Linked DNA regions of Drosophila melanogaster. The protein of the gene in region 2 interacts with the protein of the main gene of each other region in a pairwise test. Each region holds a gene or a part of one and is shown on either strand. Other genes may lie near its edges.

Region 1 (10,133 bases), on a different chromosome or scaffold from region 2:
GTTGTGTGAACATTTTGCGCTGATCCTTTAATTGTTGCGCAACCTTCGCTGGCGAAATTGCAGGAACCCAGGTCCGCAGCCCACGGTCCCAAGGATTCGGTGATTAATGCCGGACCTTTCTCCCAAGTCGCGTGTGCAGCGAAATTAGTGGGATTTCGTATTGTGTGTGTGGGCATCGGCATCCGATCGGTTTAAGCCAAACTCAAAGTCCGGTCCAAATGAATGCAATTATTAAGTCATAAAACGGACAACGTAAAATGCCAAAGTCTGTAATTAGCGACACCAAATCACGGCAGCCGCGCCCCCTTTTCTTAATACATCCTTTCTCAGCCCATTATCGGGCATTGTGTGCGGTCCGCGAGGAAAGGAGAGAGATTACCTGGCATAGGAAGAGGCAGAGTCCTCTGGAGGTCACCGTTTGTTTTGGGAAGTCCTGGCCCACAAGGTTAGCGGCAATTAGTCAAACGATTCGCAACGCATCTACCATCAATCAACGTAGGGCCATGGGCTCCGGTTACCGATCCTGATCATCATTATCCTCGTCCTCCTCATCGGGAGCAGTAACAAACTTAACCGTTACCCATTTGACAAATAATTCGCACGGCCAACGGCCCAAAAATCTCTGGGTAACTCAATTAGCCACACAGACGATCGGCACGGCACACTTGACTGACTTTCGGTTTCCAAACCCAAGAGTCCAGATTCAGGACCCACCAAGTTGGTGGGCATCCCAAAGAACCAAAGTTCTCAGTATCTCACGCTGCAGCCAACGGTGATCGAAGATCGACAGTGAAAGTGCATCAGAAATCAAAGTCGTTCTGGATTTTTTGACAACTTTTTGGCGAGGCATCAAATTAACACAAGAGGCAAAAACCTTAAAATGCTACCAAGACAAGGCACAGAGCAAACAAAAGGCAGCTAAGTGAATGCATTTTAATTATACTCTACTATTTCAAATTAAATAATGCAATTAAGTCACAAGATAATCCTTGTTACTTTTTATTACCCATAGTCGTACTAAAATAGGTTTCGATTTATGATTTAGATTTGATTTTTTGATTTGTAGCGGTAGAGTATTCCGCATTTGGCAACACAAAAAACTGCTGGCCAGCATTTTTTAACTGAAATTGCCACACGCAAGCCATCGCCATCGCTTTGTCACGTTAAGAGGAGAGTCTGAAGAAGATTTGTCCAGGTCTGCGTCTTCAGGTCGAACAGAGATTACTGGTGCGGGGCCTGTAATTTTGTATTGACATTGGGTCATTTGATACAGTTTTCCAGCTCATTTGCTTGTAATTGGGCACCAAAGTCTCGCCCAGACTCCGCATGGAATCTTCGGAGACTCCCCTCGCGCATTCCCCGCACCAAAAGCCTGGGCTCGGGTTGACGACTTTTCAAATTACCAGTAATATTGTGGAACTTATATATTTATTAATCAGGATTTCGTGTGAAAAATGCGTCCAGAGTGCGTTCAAAGTTGCTGCTTGAGCTCGGCTCAGCAGACAGCAACAAGAACAACATTTTCGGCAGGACCCTTCAATTTAATGTCAACGACGTCGGTGGCGTTGGCATCACTTCATCTCTGGGCCAACTTTGTTGGCCTTTTTTTTCTGGTTGACAGTAGCTTTGATTGAGGATGGAGATGGGGTTGCTTGCCACCTGCATTGACTGGCCTCCGACTCCGCGCTGTTTTTTTTTTTCGATCGACTGTCGCGACCCGGAGTGAGTGAGAACTTAATCCCTTGGCCCCAATTATTCAAGTAATTAAGTATTAATGTGCGAAATTTTATCACCTGCGGCAAGGGGTGAGCCCGATTTGTGCTGGACAAGCCGTGATTTTCCAGCCGATTTGTGTTTAAACGGTCGTGAAAGTGGGGCTTCTCGAACACGATATCGTCGATGAGTTGAGCATTGGAAAAAATGGAATATCTCTGAGGAGATCCATATGCGTCTATTTAAATTGAATTCACATTTAACAAATAATCATGTGTGTTATCCCAACCTCCAATTAATAGAAACTAGGCTTAGTCGAGCTAGAATATTCTCGGAATAACCATAACTTTGATTGATTGCCTATAAAATATCTCGGACTGAACAAGGTGCGCCGCCTCTGGTCGCCCAAGATCTAAAGGATCGTTTCTCGTTCGTGTGCAATTAGCAGATATAATCCGTGTGATTCCACCCAACTAAAATGTCAATAACAATAAATTCCTGGCAGCTAAGCGCCGACAAAACTGGCGATCAAGATAGCAATGTGATCAGCTCATAACTGTCAAGAGGAAATCAATTGATTTGCTCAAAGGACCGGCCCAGCGAAAAGGGATAGGGAAGCCAGAACCGGCAAGGATACTGCGCGGACCCCACAGGACTTGCTTCGCATAATATTTTAGGGGCGTGTTCCGCCTGTCAACATTTTATGTTGGTGGTCAGAGAGTCAAATTGTGGTCGCAACTGACACAGCAGCCCAAGAAAGGCAAACTGCTTGGATGCTGGGAACCGTGCGGGTGTTCCCAGGACAGGTCCTTGAGCGGACAATGGAACAATGGCGAGTCCTTTGTGAAACAAAGGCCCCTACTTACAACACATTATGACACGAAATCGAAAACGAAAACTACTCGGAATGCCAACGGGCATTCAATGGCCCTTCAACGAACTGATTCATTGCTATTGCTCTATTTCTGGGGCTCCTGGCGAGCAGCGGCATGTCCTTGCGACTCCTTTTGATGCTTTCAATTTGCGTGAACCACAACTAATTTTATTGCTTAATTTTTTTTGTGTGCCAGTGGCTTTGCGGCGATTTGTCTAATTGAATTGCGCGATCTGTAAAATTATACATTTGTCTCCTTAGCCAAGTTCATTATTTATTTCTGTATCTTCGATATTGGGGTTTAATGTAAATGAACTTTTTTGTTATCGTTGCCCTTGATTTGCTTTTGTTTTGTTTATGGTCGTTTTGTAAACGATTTGGGAATTTTATACGCTCGACTTGGCGGATAATTTGCCCATCGAAGCGATTTATTATTCAAGATTTATTTGGACAATTTGTTTTTATTTTCGATCATTAAAAAATTATAAGGAGAGTATAAAGTTTGTAATGATTCGAACTACTTTTATTGTATTCTAAAACACTTATTCGAGAAATGTAATCCATATTTTTTGTTTCTCGATATAAAGAATGTACTGAGATAGTTTGTGATCTTCTGTGAACCCTAAAGATCATAAGATTCTTCTAGCATTCTCATAGAGAAACCAATTACCGTGGCGGGCAACTTTCGGAGTTGGCCAGCTGACGCATCGATGTTTTAAAGTGATCCTGCGGCACACGTGTTCATTTGCTGGCATACGCGCGATTTCGGGGCTCAATTCGGATTCGGTAAGCCGAGCCCCGAATGTCTGTGCATCCTTGTCGGCCTCACACCTTCCCCCCAACCCAATACCCAATACGGATTGCCCGTTACTCTCGTCGCGTTCCCCCAGGTGCAACCCTTTCCAGTTCCTTTTTTTTTCTTGGGGGGATCCGCTTGTCCGCTTGCCGAGTCCTTAAAGCCGCTTATCCTGCTGTCGCTGTTCGGGTTTCGGGCTCGGCTGCCTTCCCTGTTCTTCCTGCACTCGTGCTCCGATCGGAAGTCAGTAGTAACTGTTGGGCGAGTGCTCCTGCTTCCTTGAAATTGTCTGCCAGGTCAGAGGCAAGAAAGACCCAACCGTAAACGAAACAGCTACAAAAAGTATAATTTCAACTGAGCGGGGAAACGGACCACGCACTGGAAGAAATTAGATTGTTCTTAGAATAGATACTATGAATATATAGAATATATAATATAATATATTTAGATTATTATATTGGAACCCTTTTGAAAGAACTGTCAAAATTCTATAGACGTGGGCAATTGTTTTGGAATTCGACAAACTCGTTAAGCTTCCTGAAAACTCAAAACTCATTAGTTGTAGTTAAAATATTGCAATCTGTTTATCAGAGATCTGGAATTATTTCAACGTTCTGTATACTACAAAATGCTATTATTTGGTCGATATAAGAAAGTTTTTACTCTCAAACAGCATGGAATATTTTTTCTAAGTGTTGGGGCGAAGGAGCGTGGGCAACCCAATTTCCAAAGTCAAAAGTGGCACCAGATGACGGCGTGCGTCGTCCGTTTGTTCTGTTCCAAGGAGCGGGCTAGAAAGGGACAGGACGAGAGGTCCTGCTGGAGGAATGAGGGGAGGAGGAGGAAAAGACCGGCCAAAGATGGCATATGTTGCGCCTTGGCTCTATCTCGCTTTGGCCAATGCCCCGCAGTGGGTCCTTTTCGCTGGCTTTCACTCGCACGCCACGCGGCTCGTCCTGCAGACAGCCAGCAACAATAACGATTATTCGGCATTGTGTGAGCAAGACACGCCATTTGGTCGCAGGCGGAAACCTCGATCCTTCAACCTCAAGCATCCCATATTTATATGTACATAGTAGACAACTGCTAGCTAGCTAGCTCCCAGCAGCTAAGAGCGATCCGCTCTTGATTCAGTTACAGTTACCCAAAAGTTCAGCAGTAGCACTTGGAAGCCCACGCAATTAAAGGTGCATCAATCAAAATTAAAGACAATCCGGCAGCGATTTTTAAACGCCATCTAGGCACGTCAGCCGAATTCTGAAAGAAGACGGCCCTTTGATATGCGAATCTTCCGACATGTGTGCATGACAATATCACTTGTGCCAATATGGCTCAAGGTAAAGACTATTAAATTCAAATTAATGCTTAAATCCTGACAAGCAATCGCCAAATATAAACGAACTCCTCTGAATTGTGCTAAAACTCAAACAAAAAGGAATGTGTTCACAATAATAATAGGAAAAATTTTATTTAAAATATTAAAAATGCATAGATTTCTTTAAAAATATATGTAGGATGTTTATTGTTTAGCACAATTGTTTATCTTATTAATATTTTATAGAAGTATAGTTTGCTTATTATATTAGGTATTTAATAAAAAGATGACTCGTGCCAACACTTCTTGATCTCCGGGCATACGACGACTACACAACTTTTCCTTACTCCGGACACGACAACTTTCGGCTTTAAGATCTTTTTTTAATTACACAACCTTCAACTCGCTTTGTTCTACTTCTACTTTAAGCTTGTCCTATTTTCTTACCTTTGCTACCCTTTGCGAAGATTATCGATCATCGCATATCGATAACTATTGTTACATACATATTATTTTGTTTATTAGTACATGTATTAAAATATGGTATTTTTAAAGTTTGGCCAAACGTTTATTTCTATTGATACCATTGGCTGGTAAAAAAGTCTGATAACAAGTTTGGTTCGCGTTAGAACCCATAATTCGTCAGGCAGAAAACTTGTTAAAATGGTGAATCTTGACTTAGAAATGATTTTGGAGACTCTCCTGAACGCGGCGAGGAGGAAAAGGGAAAGGGAACACCTTGAAGGTTCTTCGGAAGGTAAGTTCCGCCAACGGCATATAAACATAAACATAAACATAAACGGTCAACTTACAGAAGGCGAGTATAAAACACTAAACGATTACCTACCTATCATATCAATTGTATTTGAAATGTAGGAGTTATCTACTGGATGTATGAGAAAATTGCGGATTTGACCTTGAGGGTCCTGGCAGAATTGGTTGACTTTGTGAAGGCAGCTATTATAAAAATAGTTGGTGTCGCTACAAATGCTGTGGAGTGTTTCAAGCGTGATTTTACAGTGCAATGTGCCGCATTGGAAGCCTTTGTGGTATTTTTAACCAGTAATTTGGGATTTCAACTGGAAATGTAATTATTCATGCGGTTCAAAAAATTCCATTCCATGCCTGCTAAATCATTGGATGCACTGCCATAAGATTATGATTTCTTTATACTTGGGTTCTGATATCGGGTACTCCTAAAAAAAAGCTTTCAATCTACATATGTACATATGCGAAGCTTGATTGCAATGATAGATTAAAATTGATTTCGATGATTTGGTTTGTATCGAGTAACTCCCCTCCACAGTGGCGGATATACAATTATTGCACTACTGATAACGAAATAACAACGTGATTGTACTCAGTTGTTAGAAAGATCGTCACCGGGAAAGAAGTAAAACTTTGTAACGGAAATATACATAAATTGAAAATATGGATTCAGCCATCTCAGAGATAATCAATGCCCTGGCTATACTGGCCGACGATAAAAATATCCAGTTGACCATCAAGGAGGCCGGCAAGGGAGCTGCAATTTGTGCTGGCGCTGCGCTGATCGGAGGACTACTGCTGGGCCCCCGGGGACTGGCACTGGGCGGGGCCATCGGTGGTCTCACCGCCTACGGACTTACGGAGGGCAAGAGTGTCTAGCGTTACATGGTGACTATCATTCTTATCAGTCTTTTAATTCCAGGAAATTTCAAATCTCTAAGTGAGGTCATTTTGAACGATTTGACGGAGAGTCAGCGTCGAGAACTGGAGCAGCACGTGATCAGGGCCATATCCGAAGTTAGAAATGTACGCGTTCGAGATGTCGCAAGACTAATACTAAATAACCGGCATGTGCAAGAGGTTGCACTCGAAGCAGTCAAGTCCTATATCACTGATCGTATGGGAATGACCATCGTTGATTAGGCATTAATAGAAATATTTTTTAAACTATATTTCTCGATGATTAATGCTATAACACAGAATTTTGCCTGCAACATAAATAAATTGTTGGCGCACTGAATGATTTTATTTTAAAATCTATAGTAAAAACCATTTCAGCTTATAATTTAATAGTCAGTGACTAGCCTTTTCGATGTGCCAGATGTAAAAAGATTGTTTTGCTCAGAGCTCGGCTTTCAATAGACAAGAGTCGCGCGATCTACGTCATCAAAATCCGTCAGATGTCTGGAGGAGCTGAACAGATGTTGGAGTAGGCGGAATTTGTGCAGCTACACTACCAAGGCGATCATCAGCAGGGCAACAACTGTTACAAGCAGTAAAAATAAGATAAAATTCAGAGACTCTTAGTGAAATTGCGGCAAGAGCCGAAATAAAGAGTCGTAGAAATTTCGTTGCTGCACTGTGAACGACGAGAGAGATGTGTGATGCGATGCTTTGGTGTATCTCACGGATGCACAGATACTCGCTTCGGATATTCGCTCAGTGTGCGGTAGGCAGGTCAAAATAATTTTGCTTACTGCGGAAGCGAGAGGAAGAGGAAAAAAACTGGCTGATCTCGATCTCGATCTCCGTCTCTATCTCTTTCTAGGGCCAGCTGTCGCCCATTTGGATCGGATCCGTATGCTACTATATCTTATATCGTGTGGCTGCCACGTGTCGTGGGCAAGTCCATTGGGCAATTGGTCAGTTTAGCCGAACAATGGCCAATTAGTATGCATGCGACTTTGAAAAGTGAACTTGCGATTAGCCACAAAGTTGCCCAATATACATATGTACATATGTATATATATGCAATTACAGAGCAACCTCTCTAAGTCGAATCAAACTGAAATGAGATCTTGATACTAAGTAGTAATTTACTTCACTATTTATTGATCATTTTAAAATGTGTAAATTCCTTGGTTTAACACACGCCTCTTAGCGTTTTATAAGAACATAGTGATTTGAAATTGATTTTATTTCAATTCCAAGCCAGACTTTAAAAAGGCTTCACTGTGCCTGCAAATATGCTGATAGCTGTACCAGATCGACTGCAGCAGCTGTAAAATCAATCAAAAACTTGTCAAATAAATGTCATGCATAAGCAATAAGTGAACAGGATGTGGCGAGTCCTCGGCCCCTGTCATCTTGCGGGTGCATAAATTTGCCATTGGCTGTTTTTGCCTGGGTTCTCTCTTAGGACTATTGCTTACGGGAAGGGTCGGTCCACTATGATTGCCGGCACTGATCCTGCTCCTCGCGCAGATAGTCGCCGATGTGCTGCACCACCATGGCACTGCACAGCTGAGCCTGCACCACTTGATCCTCGGCGGTCTGGTGGGTCTGCACCAGGATTAGGGATGCATTGTGCATGGATTGGGCCATCCCCAGATTGATTTCCGCCATCGCGTTAATGAAACAGACACTTCCGCCAGCTGAAGCTAGAGGATTAAGCGGGGAAGCCCCCAGCAATTGGCACTTGGCCGGCAAGTGGGCAATCTGCTGTACGAATTCCTGTACTCTGGCCAAAGCCAGTTGACTCTCCAGACGGAAGTCTTCCAAAAGGCTTCCCAAGTCTTCCGTACACCCACCCAGCTGATGGGTCACATTTTCATTGAGCTCATCCAGGCTCCAGGCTGGGTTGCAATCGGGATTGGACACCACTAACTGGTTTGTCTCATAGATCACATCACTTAGTTCGGCCATAGCATTGGCGGTCAGGACCTCAATGTTACCGGCAATATTTTGCCGAGTGCGATTTATTTTCTCCTCCAACTGAATGGAGGTGTCGTCGCTGACACTTACGGCAATCTCTGCCAGATTGTCCACAACCATGGTAACAGGTCCATAGTTTGTAGTCTCTGTCTCCATCTTTGTTTCATAGCCGACTTCTTGGCAGTCCTGAAATAAAGGAGCATATGAATTTGAAAAGTACTATAAATGGAAAGTTACTATTAACTCACTGCCAAAGTCAGCAAAAGCAGAGCAAGTACTCCCAGAGTTTGACTCATCATCTTTCTGTTATATTTCCTAGTGCGACTGGCCCTACACTTGACTTCTTATATATGTCAAGAGATCCAGTGTCACGATAAGAGTGTGTCTCATAGCAATCACTACGAAACACAATTTGAGCATTAACTTGATGAACTGAGATGATGTTTTAGTACATGAACTTGGTATACTATTCAAAGTATTCTATTTGGTCATCGTATTTTTCGTAAATTTTCGTAATTTCTTTTTGTAAATTTCTCACCTTCGTTGAATAATGGAGGGATCAATTATACTTTTATTTGTAAAAGGGGAGATATTTACAGTTCAAGTTTGCTAAAGAAAGCTGAGGTTGATGACTAACTTGAAGCATATAGTCGTTACACAGTCATCATGCGATAAGAATCTTTCTTATAAACATTATAAGACACAAATGAGCCATTTGTCTAATTCAGAACTTAATTTAAGTTTTGTTCGGAACTTAAATACCCTAAAGTTTCATATTGATCACATATGACATGGGTATTTTTAGCAACTTACGCTGTTAAATTTTTCGGTATCCCAATATTTTCTTTATAAACAATAACAATTTTTGTTAAAGCGTTAAAACTCTTTCCCAAAAAAGAATTTAATTCTTAGTCTTAGTTAATTAAGGCAACCTTTGGCGATCTATAAATAAAAGGTATGGTATCTTCAATTTTTCGGGAATCAATTCGATTTAGTTTCAAGATGACAACAGTACGGGTGTCACTGCTTTTACTTCAGTCGCTTCTTTGTGTATGAAATAGCATTATTTGTGTAAAGTATAATATTAAAGAAAAGATCTTACAGGTGCATGGCCACTTTCAAAGAATTTGGGGACAAAATGGACCACTCTATGAGTCCACAAAGCAGCTTATAGCCAGCCAAAGCTCCAGTGCAGCCAGGATCTGGAACGTCACCCAACAGGCCCTCGATCAGAAGTTGGAGTATCTTCAAGAAGCCAAGGACACACTGGATGACCATCAGCAAGTGGTTAGTGGACGCTTGGAGATGTTTTTTGGAAGCCAGTACAGCGATGAGTGGCGGGCATGCTCAAAGAAGTACGAACTCCAGGTGGCACACTTCAATCGAGAGCTGGTGGACAAGTACAGTATCTGCAGGAATTCTCTGGACCACATCATGGATCATTTTCAGGAGGAAATCGTGCTGGAGGCTAATTTTCTGAGTAAGGCTTCGCGGGAGATCAGTGAGTTGTCAAACACCTGCAGAATCTGGCAGCTTAAGCAGTCTGGTTTCAATCACGCCGGAGTTTTATTATGCACTGTCGCTGGAATCGGGAGGATCAATCAGCGGATGATCAGCAGTCTGGAGCTGTGCGATGCAATTGTGCTGGAGATGTCCTTGGAAGACCTGGACACACCAAGTTGCCTCTTCTACCATCATCTGAAGATGGATTTCGATGACCTCTTTACGCAGATTGAGTCGTGTGCGATAAACTAGAAAGAATGTAATAAAGTCAAATGCACTATTAACTGTGG
Region 2 (10,760 bases):
TGCAAACTATGCTTAACATAGTTATATTTATGTAATCTAATTTGATCATATTAATAACTTAATGCATGTAAATAGTATAGAGGTATCCTTTAGAGTATATAGATCACTGTACTCTCCACACGTTTCACTAATTTCTGCTCCACTGTTTACTTCTCTCTTGTTTTTTTTTTTTTTTTTGAAGGGGCGTGGTCTTTGACCATAAACAGCAGGCGGTGGAGAAGATCAAGAAGGAGGAGGAGCAGGTGATCCCCACTTTTGCATATTGTTTTCTTCATTCTCTTTTTTTTCAGGGGGGCGCGCTGATCAGTGGGCGTGGCCCGTGGAGTGGGTGGCCGACCAGAGTCATGGGCCTCATTTGGAAAACGCTTTTAATTGGACTGCCGCACGCATGGTGGTGCTGGTTGCTCGTGGATCTCGCGGTGCTCCGCTCAATGCTGCAGTGCAGCCGAGATGTTGCTGCTGCTGTTGGCCATAAATACAAATTGCGCCATAACCTCGACACTAAATAAACCGTAAAAAGGAAAACGGAATATTAAGACGTTGGCAAGGCGCACCCAAAAAATTCAATTCATTTGGAATAATCATAAGTTTTTGGAAAAAATTGCATTAAACATAAGAAATACGAAGAGAATATGAATTAATACTTAATACATAAAAAAAAGGATTACTGCTAATTTTTCATACGAAATTTGAATTAGCTGTGAGCAACATTTGCGCTCAGTGTAGCGGCGGCCACCACCTCCGCCACAAGAGGGAGTGAGATGGGCGGTCGAAAATGGCGTCTGTTGGCCATTGGAGCCCGGAATGTGGGCCCAGCGGAGATGGAGATCCGGGGAAGCCGAGAAAACTGGACCGATCAAAGTGAAACAGCCCGATTAACCGGGTGCGTCTGCTTTTCATCAGCCACGGCCATTCCAATTAGTGGGTACATACATATGTATACATATAGATGGTATATCTATTATATATAGCATGTAGTAGTATATGTTACCTGGCACACGGGGTCTCCAAGTGAATCGATTTGTTTACCCTCCCTCCTACTCACCCCTTCCATATAAATCTACGCATCCAGTTGCGTCCTGGATTTATGGAACAACTGCTTGTTAATGTTTTTCCCTGATTTTCGTTTGCCGCACTACTGTTTACAATTATTTTGAGTTAATTTTTTTTCCCCTTTTTTTTGGCATTTTCAGAAGCATTTCGATCGCAGCAGATCGTACCATGCAGTCCATAAATAATACATAAATTTGAAAAATTGTTATGGCATTGGCCATGCCATTTTAGTCGTTAATTATTTGTTTGAGTGTAAACAATTGGAAATGAAATGCTAACTGCTTCGAAGAAATTACTTAAATGATTCATAAATTCGATATTCGATCTTTTTTATCGATTATATAAATATTATATATAAATGAGTGTAATGCATTTGTTGTAAAATTTCCATCATGGACGAAATCGACTAAAGGTTTATTATTGTATCGTAAATTTAGATTCCAAATCGAAGCGTTTGGCTTAAAGGAATTTCGAAATTAAATGACGACTAAATATTTTTAATTTAAGATAATTTACAACAGTCTACTTCTCATTGTCGTTATTCGTGGCCTTCTTCTTGAGATCCAGAGAATCCATGAGATCCAATGGAGCAATCCAGCTCCGGTTCCGTCTGGCCTTTGAGCGATAAATCATCGGTTTGAATTGAGGACAAATCGTGTCCAGTCATGTCCTGGGCCTCCAGTGCATCATCATCGTCACCTGCGTTGAAGTTTAGTTGACTTTCGTCGTCCGGTGGATTGACTAGGCCACCAGGATATTCTTCGCGTTGCTGATAGCCACCGATCAGTGTAAACATAACTTCACTATCGTCTATCCTGCCATAGCCGAACTTGCTTAACTTGCTGCTCTGATTGGCCGTCAGGACGACCGGCTTCCAGGTGAGATCCAGGGTGGACTTATTGGGCCCCAAATCCTCCAGTACGCTCTGATTGGATAGCACGCGACCCTTGTACGACAGCCGACTGAAGCCCATGGGCACGGACATGACTTGCCCGATCCGTGCCTTCAGGCTGGCCACCGTTCCTAAGCGATCCACCTCGTAGACGGTCTTCTTGCCGTCGCGCGTCTGAACCAAAACTTGGACCTTCCGCATCCTGATGCCCGAATTTATATATATATATATATATATATATATATATAGATAATTTTAGATTTTATACACAAGCTCTGTGTCTCCAGGTGTAGTCTGCTTTGTTCGGATAGAAGTTTGCTTCTGGAACCCCTTGTGTAAAACTGTCGTCGTCATGCGAATGCCAGTGCGAGTAAAATTTCATGGCATCCTTGGATTACCTTATAGCCTAATCAACATTTGTTGATTCTCCAATCGAATTTCATAAACAAAATCGAAGAAAATCAAGTACAAGCTATCAGAAAGTTGATGGCAACGAAGTTCTAGCGAAATGAATTTGACTACCTAATTGGAACAAGAAAAAAGCATTTAAATCAAATTGACTAATATTATAACTTGCATTTAAAAACCCGCACAGTACATATGTATATATATTTCCACGTACGTATGTTGCCTATAAATAGTTAGTTTAGTTAACAAATCGCTGGAGCCGAGTACCATGCACAAAACTGATCTATTTCCGCACATCCAGTTCGATCGAATGGAAAATGGCATCCGGAAAAGCGAGCCGTGAAAAGTAATTGACAAACATTCGGAGGCGTCGACACATTTATGCACTCCTCATTTGCGCCGAGAGCTTCCGGTTTTCCAACTGCCACTCCGGTACTTGCGGCTCGTCGTCGATTTCTCTTGGTCTGGGATCGGAATCGAGGAATAGAGGTATAGGGTATCGCAATTGAAATCGGGACTTCATAAACACAGTGGCATGTTGTCAACTGCAGTGCCAACCCGTTGACACCTCGTAAAAAGTGAAATGTGTGTTCACTGTGTTTATGCATTAAAGTTTTATGCTTACTTTTGCTTCAAAAAACATTACGATGAAGAACTGTTCAAAGTGAGCAACGTTTTGGTTATCCCCCAATCCCAAAATGTAATAACTAAACCATTTCTATTTTTGTCTTCTTTAGTTTAGTTATCTTTATTAACGTTTTGTTCAAAGTAATGAAATAAACGAGTATAAATGTAACATCCCAGTGTATGTATGTATGTATAATGATGTTTTAGAATGTAGAAAATAATAAGACGGGAATTTCTAAAAGAACTGGGTCTGTGGCATGATTGACTTTCGTCCATCATTCGACTCTGGCCGTCGTTACATCTTAGAGTCTCCAGGCGGCGACAAGACCGCTGATCAGCAGCGTCATGGAGATGATCAACTGGGCACCGCTGTCGCGTGCCAGCGGAATGTTGGTATCATTGGCCAGCAGAAAGTTGCAGCCGCGTCCCTCGCACGTATAACAGTTGCCATCCTTGACGCACTGCTTCCTGGCATTCGCCGAGGTGAGACAGCCGCGCTGGAAGGATCCGTCCACGGTGCGATTGCTATTGCGAATGTAGCACTTGTCGCCGAACTTGTACAGCGGGCAGATCTTGGCCGATACATAGGTCTCTGTGGCGCAGGACGACGAGGTCGAGTTCCCTGTGCACTGTAGGCACATGAGGCGGCTCAACGGGAAGGTGTTTCGATTGCATCCCTCGCTGTAGGTGCACAGCTGGCACAGTAGCTCGTTGTTGCACGAATTACGCGTGGCGTTGTCCAGATCGACGGCACAGCCGCGAATTGTGTAGCCATCTGCGAAAGATACCATTAGATGGTGCAGCCAGGGTAATCAATGCGATAACATACCCAGGACGCGGGAATAGCAGTTGGAGGATCCATCGGAACAGTTGCGATTGAGCAGGCTCAATGGATCTGTGGCGCAGCGTTCGTTGTCCTTCGAATTGCACTGGATGCATCCATCTGCAAATTGAGCGAGTGGAACGGAGCGTTTCGATTGAGTCATGCCTGATTAGATTAGATCAAGTTTTTCGTAATCGTTGCGTTGGCATAATGACATCATATTGATTTCGTGCAAAGTCTGCCTACCTACCACAGTGCATATGTGTTTGAATGTGTTTGATTATTTCTTTTTATGTATCTACCTGCATGCCTTATTACAATGACGCGCACTGTACTCGGATGGCAATTGTCTCGATTTTCCACAATCGATTCTTACGAACATGCCCATGACAAGTGAATCAGCAAACTTGTATGTTTTTGATAAGAAGAGTCAATTTACATTGGCTATAAATCGAAAGCTTGCAAGCAAATTATATTTAGCATATCAGGTGGCAGTAAATATTAAATATTTACCAAGTGTTTACATGAAAGTACGAATGTACGAGATTATGTTTCAACTTTAATAATGAAACGGAATAACTATGTACTTCATCACAAAGAGAAATTAAATTACCGCTGACATACAGCTGTGTTCATAAAAATAGCAGTGCTTGAGTTTAAAATAAAAAAATCTTAAGATTTCAAGTTTTAATGGGAAAATTTTTTTTATAATATCATTAGGTATTTAATTTTAAACAATTCAACAAATGTTTCACATTCATTTTTTTAATAGTTTCGAAAATATAGATTAAAACAAGCAGAAATAGCAGTGCTATGAAAAAATAGTAACAAAATTCAACTTGACTTAGAACGAACTTATTCTTAGCCGATTTGCTTCTGCGTTTCTTTATTTTTTATTTTTTTAATTTATTGCCCTTTTAAATATACAAATTCAAATTCAAATTCAAACTCACTTTTTAGAAAATATTGATCATTTCGGGAGTTTACGTTGGTCAAAACCAGACACTGCTATTCTGTTGAACAGCCTAAAAGTTGTGATTTTGCTCAAGAATGTAAATAAAAAAAAGGATAGCATAGAAAACTAACGACATTTTCTTTTTTTCCCTATCTACACATTCCAATTCACAAAAATAAGTGGAATAAAAATTCGATCCCGAAACATGAAAAAAAAACCGTCGCATTTCTTAGTTTCTCTTGCACTGCTATTTTTTTGAACACAGCTGTATGTACACATGGTTTAAATATATGGCGTACAATTTTCACATCTTTTTGCTGGCTCACTCACACTTAGAAAAAAAAGAATATGTTTGCCCAGTTACAAAGCTAAGAACCTTTAAAAGTTTCTTTGGAAACTCGCCTATTGATAGCTTATCATGAATTTATTTCCGTGTCCATGATATCACCGCTTATCACACCTTATATAAAACACTCAATAAGTTTTTCAATTCAAAGAGCAAAAAGAAAATTAAAAAAAAAAAAATACGATCCCGATGAAAATTAAAAGTGAAACTTATTTTGGAACAACATTTAGGCAGGTACAACATTTACCACAACTGATGTAGGCCAAAAACGAGAGGGCTGCAATCACCAACAGGTAAAACTTCATGGCTGATAACTGATGTAACTAATTTCACGACGATCGAATGTTGCGACTGGTTACGGAGCTGAACCAGAACTAAGGGAGTAGAAAAGGTTCAATGAGTGATTTGAGTTTTGCCGAGCTTTATACCCTATTCATATATACCTACAGCTTTACGATAAGGCACCACGACAACAGTAATTCTATTGGTGAGTTGAGAAAAAAAAGTGTTTTGAAATGATTCACGACGCTAAAGTTGTCGCTCTTTGGCATACATTCATTTTCATAAATTATGTTCAGCGGGTTAGTCAGCGCACTTGCGAAACTTCCAGATGTTTTAAAAATATATCTTTAATGTTTGCAAAATCGTAATAAATTTCATTTTCAAGTGCTAGCTAATCGCATTAAAATTTCAATTCAAATGCTAGCGCGCATTTGAATGCGTTCCACACTTATCGATAACACGTCGATAAGTACTCCTTGCCAGAGTTTTTAATTAATATAGTTTAGCAAAATATCATTTTGTTTCTATTTAAATTTAAATTGGTTCATACTCACCAATTTATTGTAAAGGAAGTCGAAACTTTTAAGCTGATTAATTTCACCTTTTACATCCGAGAATTAAAAAAAAATACAGGGAAATATTTTGAACCGACGTTTTGTTATTCTGAGTGAAACTTAAAACGGTCACACTTTGCTGGCAGACAAAAATATTCACTTTTTATATCTAAACAAAACAAAGTTATTTACGAAAAAAGCGAGATATAAACGGCAATGAGCGCCACGACTAGAACACCTGCCACACCGGGGACACCTGGCACTCCCGGCAGCCTGGCCATGGAAGTGGCCCGCGTCCAGAATTCAGCACTCGCCGAGTTTAAAAAGCCCACGGCGATGGTGCGCCACAAGAACAAGCCAAAGATCCTTACCGAGGAGAAGTACATCGAGGAGATGTCTAAGATCATCCAGCGCGACTTCTTTCCCGATCTGGAGCGGCTGCGTGCCCAAAACGACTACCTGGACGCGGAGTCACGGCGCGACTTTGTACAAATGGCCGAGATTCGGGAGCGCTACAGTCTGGGCAGGATTTCCGGGACAGGAAGAAGCACCAGCCGACGGAATAATGGTGGGTATTGTACTCAATTGGATGAACACCACTGGCACATCGCTGTCTGCTACTATCTTACTTGAAATCAAGTCTGATGAAATTATACATTGGCCAAGTTCAATAGATAGACCCATTAACTTTTTGAATTCCTTCATTTCAGCCATGTCCCCGGCCACATTTGAGACACCAGTGAGTCAGGCGAAATGTAGCAACACCCCATTGCCAAATTCCCGGGCCACAGACACACCATTTTCCACGGACGGCTCCGAGAAGAGCGATGCCGAGGGCAGGGACACCACCGCGAAGCTATCGCTGGACGCCTTTCTGCAGAAGTACACCAGCGAGGATAACCAGAGCTTTCAGGAGATCATCGAAACGGCCGAGGCCAAGCTGCGCCAAAAATACGCAGTACTGTACAACCATGAGAAGCTCTCCGCAGAGCAACTGCAGCGGGCCCTAATGCTGCCCAGCATAGAAACGCAATTCGAGGAGCCAGATCCGCTGAGAAAGATCGAAACCTGGAACTACACCAACATGAATTCCATTATGTACGTGCCCGATGGCGTGGAGTACACAGAGGAGGAGCGCGTCCAGTTGGCCGAACGGAAGCAGAGCATCCAACACAATGCCACCAGGCTGCCCGATGAGGCAAAGCATCGCGAAATGGACACTAAAAAGCTGAATGATGAAGTGCCCCAAAATGGGGCTGGTGGTGCCACAGCTACTCCGAAGGTACGCGGCTTCGATTTGTTGCGTTCACCATCACCGCGACCCGGAGAGGCTTTCTCGCCCATAATGACCTGGGGTGAGATCGATGGCACTCCCTTTCGCCTGGACGGAGGCGATACCCCATTGCGGCCCACACAAGGACCCTCGTTCCGGATTAATGAGAACTCTCGGCGCGAAAACATCGCCATCGCTTTGGCCGAAAGGGTCAGCGAAAGGATGCGAAATCAAAAACAAATGGCTCTGGATACGGCGCGTCGTAACATTGGCTCACCACTGATACGCACCAATATGGAACGGCTGGCCAGCATGTCGCCGGCAGCGCAGCTACTGGCCACGGGTAAGCTGGGTATCCGCGGCACGCCCCGATTAAGGCACACACCATCGCCGATGAGCGGCAGAAAACGAAAGGTTACGCCCGGCGTGGTGAGGAGCACCAATACGCCAATACTGGGTGAACCCAAACCCAAACAGCAGGCCAAGATTAGCACTCCGGCTAAGAACGTTACCATTGATACGGGATCCACGCTCACGGACGATCTGCTCAAGATACCCACTAAACGACGCACTGCAGCCGATTTCTTTTAGTACATAACATTACCCATAACCCAGCTACATTATTCATGTTTAATTTCATTAGAGAATACTATACATAGTCCCACAGTGTTGTTACGAATTGTATATTTCTTATAAATAGATGCCGAGTTGTTGGAAAGAAGATTTAAGAATGCGTAAATCATAAACATCATACACATATCTTATCAGCTTTGAAGTTCATTAAGATGTATTGGGTGTTGTAGCAAAAACACTTGCGCACATTTTTAGTTTCATTTTAATGTTTCAATACGAAAAACCCCATTACCACAGATAGCAACATACTGATTAACTAGCTAGAACTGCTCATCCCTGTAATCCACATGATCGCCGGACTTGAACTTGAATGCTTCCAGGACTTTGATGAATCGCTCCGTCGTTTGGGCGGGAGTCAGCATGGTCTTGGACTCCCTTTGCTCTCGAAACATGGCGACCACGGCGGGATCGTGGGCCTCTCGCTGAACCTGGACGGTCATCTGTGTGTCTATGACGCCGGGCGCGTAGTTCAACACCAGGGTGTCCTCGGCGGACTCCTCGGTGGCCAGCACTCGGAAGTACATCTCACGGGCTGCCTTCACCGTGCAATAGTGTGCCATCGAGGATATAGGTGCAATGGCTGCCAAGGTGCTGAGATTAACCACCAACTTTGGGATTCCCTTGAAGACGCGCATAAACTCGCAGTTTAGCGAAATGGCCGAGAAGACATTGGAGTGGTAGTAGCGCTGTAGGAAGTCGGTATCTCCGATTTCTTTGGCCCTCTTTGACGTATCGCCCACTGTGCCGGCATTATGAATGACTATGGCTCGCTCGAAATTGTTCTTTCCACCGGATGCCTCCAGAATCTTGGTAAAGTCCTCCGTTTTGGCCGTTTCCAGCTCCAGCGAATAGGTTTGCACGGATAGATCTGGCACTGTGGCGACAATCTCTGCCTTAGACTCCTGCAAAAGGGTTTGATTGCGTCCCAGAAGCGTCACCATGGAACCCTCGGCTTTGATCCGTTTGGCTAACTGCTGGGCGAACTCACGGCCAATTCCACGTGATGCACCGGTCACCAGGAGATATGTGCGCTGTTTCAGGTCCATGATTGCGTGAAAAACACGGACTATATTACTTTCTAATTTCCACACCGCTGAAGTGGCAACAGTTGGCTGTCTTTTTGCCTTAACTCGCTTTGGCTTTTACCTGATTCTCCGGCAGCTTTTGCACAGCTGACTAAAGCTTGGTGCTTTTATTTTTATGACCAGGAGCGTAAGCAAAACTACTTTCTAAAAGGGGGTAATATAAGTAGTGTAGTTTTTGATACCCATTAAATAGTATCATAGTAAACTTTTAGCGATGACCAGGTTATTCATTTCGTTTATTCATTTAAAGGTATTAGTATTTGTAGAAACAATTAATTATTATTTTTGGAAATTTTAGCCCCCCAATATACCCGCCCATGTCTCCCGCTCTCCCCGCTTTTTGTGCTCTCGATTCGCACATTTCTCTCACGGTTTAAGCTTCACTCGATGCGAAAGGTTATCGCCGGCTCTTGCTTAACGATTTAATTTAATTAATTGCCTATGTTTTATTAACCGCTACTATATAATACTACACTATATATCAAAACTTATGGTCCTTTTGGAAAGAACCCAACTAATATATTATATATATAATGTGTGATCGAATGTCAATGTCAAGGTCAGCATCTTAAAGAGTTAACTCGAGTAATCTTCTCTCGAAAGCTCTGCAACTTTGTTATAAAGTTCAAGCTCGCAAATTGTCATTAAATTTATATTGATTTTTCTTACAAAATTTGAATTAGCATTTGCGCTCAGTGTAGCGGCGGCCACCACCTCCGCCACAAGAGGGAGTGAGATGGGCGGTCGAAAATGGCGTCTGTTGGCCATTGGAGCCCGGAATGTGGGACCAGCGGAGATGGAGATCCGGGGAAGCCGAGAAAACTGGACCGATCAAAGTGAAACAGCCCGATTAACCGGGTGCGTCTGCTTTTCATCAGCCACGGCCATTCCAATTAGTGGGTACATACATATGTATACATATAGATGGTATATCTACAATATATAGCATGTAGTAGTATATGTTACCTGGCACACGGGGTCTCCAAGTGAATCGATTTGTTTACCCTCCCCCCTACTCTCCTCTTCCATATAAATCTACGCATCCAGTTGCGTCCTGGATTTATGGAACAACTGCTTGTTAATGTTTTCCCTGATTTTCGTTTGCCGCACTACTGTTTACAATTATTTTGAGTTAATTTTTTTTCCCCTTTTTTTTGGCATTTTCAGAAGCATTTCGATCGCAGCAGATCGTACCATGCAGTCTATAATTAATAAATTTAAAAAATTGTTATGGCATTGGCCATCGTTAATTATTTGTTTGAGTGTAAACAATTGGAAATGAAATGCAAACGGATAAAATCGACTAAAGATTTATTATTTATGCTTGTATCGTAAATTTAGATTGAGGACTGAAACGAGGACTAAATCTTTTTAATTTAAAATAATTTACAACAGTCTACTACACATTGTCGTTATTCTTGGCCTTCTTCTTGAGATCCAGAGAATCCATGAGATCCAATGGAGCAATCCAGCTCCGGTTCCGTCTGGCCTTTGAGCGATAAATCATCGGTTTGAATTGAGGACAAATCGTGTCCAGTCATGTCCTGGGCCTCCAGTGCATCATCATCGTCACCTGCGTTGAAGTTTTGTTGACTTTCGTCGTCCGGTGGATTGACTATGCCACCAGGATATTCTTCGCGTTGCTGGTAGCCGCCGATCAGTGTAAACATAACTTCACTATCGTCTATCCTGCCATAGCCGAACTTGCTTAACTTGCTGCTCTGATTGGCCGTCAGGACGACCGGCTTCCAGGTGAGATCCAGGGTGGACTTATTGGGCCCCAAATCCTCCAGTACGCTCTGATTGGATAGCACGCGACCCTTGTACGA

What was found. Proteins that work in one complex are often made in the same cells at the same time.
Region 1: the proteins of CG15347 (region 2) and Nazo interact in a two-hybrid assay, tested with the Drosophila melanogaster proteins (one large-scale study listed by BioGRID).

What each region holds. Positions count from the first base shown.
Region 1 is NT_033777.3:8,281,910-8,292,042, forward strand, and holds Nazo (nazo), read left to right. Parts: upstream 1-5,966; 5' UTR 5,967-6,129; coding exon 6,130-6,331; intron 6,332-6,388; coding exon 6,389-6,609; 3' UTR 6,610-6,704; downstream 6,705-10,133. Other genes in the region: CG11672 (uncharacterized protein), read right to left, coding at 7,855-8,526, 8,589-8,639; CG31464 (uncharacterized protein), read left to right, coding at 9,343-9,390, 9,445-10,095.
Region 2 is NC_004354.4:8,455,415-8,466,174, forward strand, and holds CG15347 (uncharacterized protein), read right to left. Parts: upstream 5,485-10,760; 5' UTR 5,410-5,484; coding exon 5,352-5,409; intron 3,969-5,351; coding exon 3,810-3,968; intron 3,756-3,809; coding exon 3,283-3,755; 3' UTR 3,080-3,282; downstream 1-3,079. Other genes in the region: CG32713 (uncharacterized protein), read right to left, coding at 1,592-2,146; Es2, read left to right, coding at 6,157-6,508, 6,651-7,804; Sptr (sepiapterin reductase), read right to left, coding at 8,107-8,892; CG33223 (uncharacterized protein), read right to left, coding at 10,344-10,760.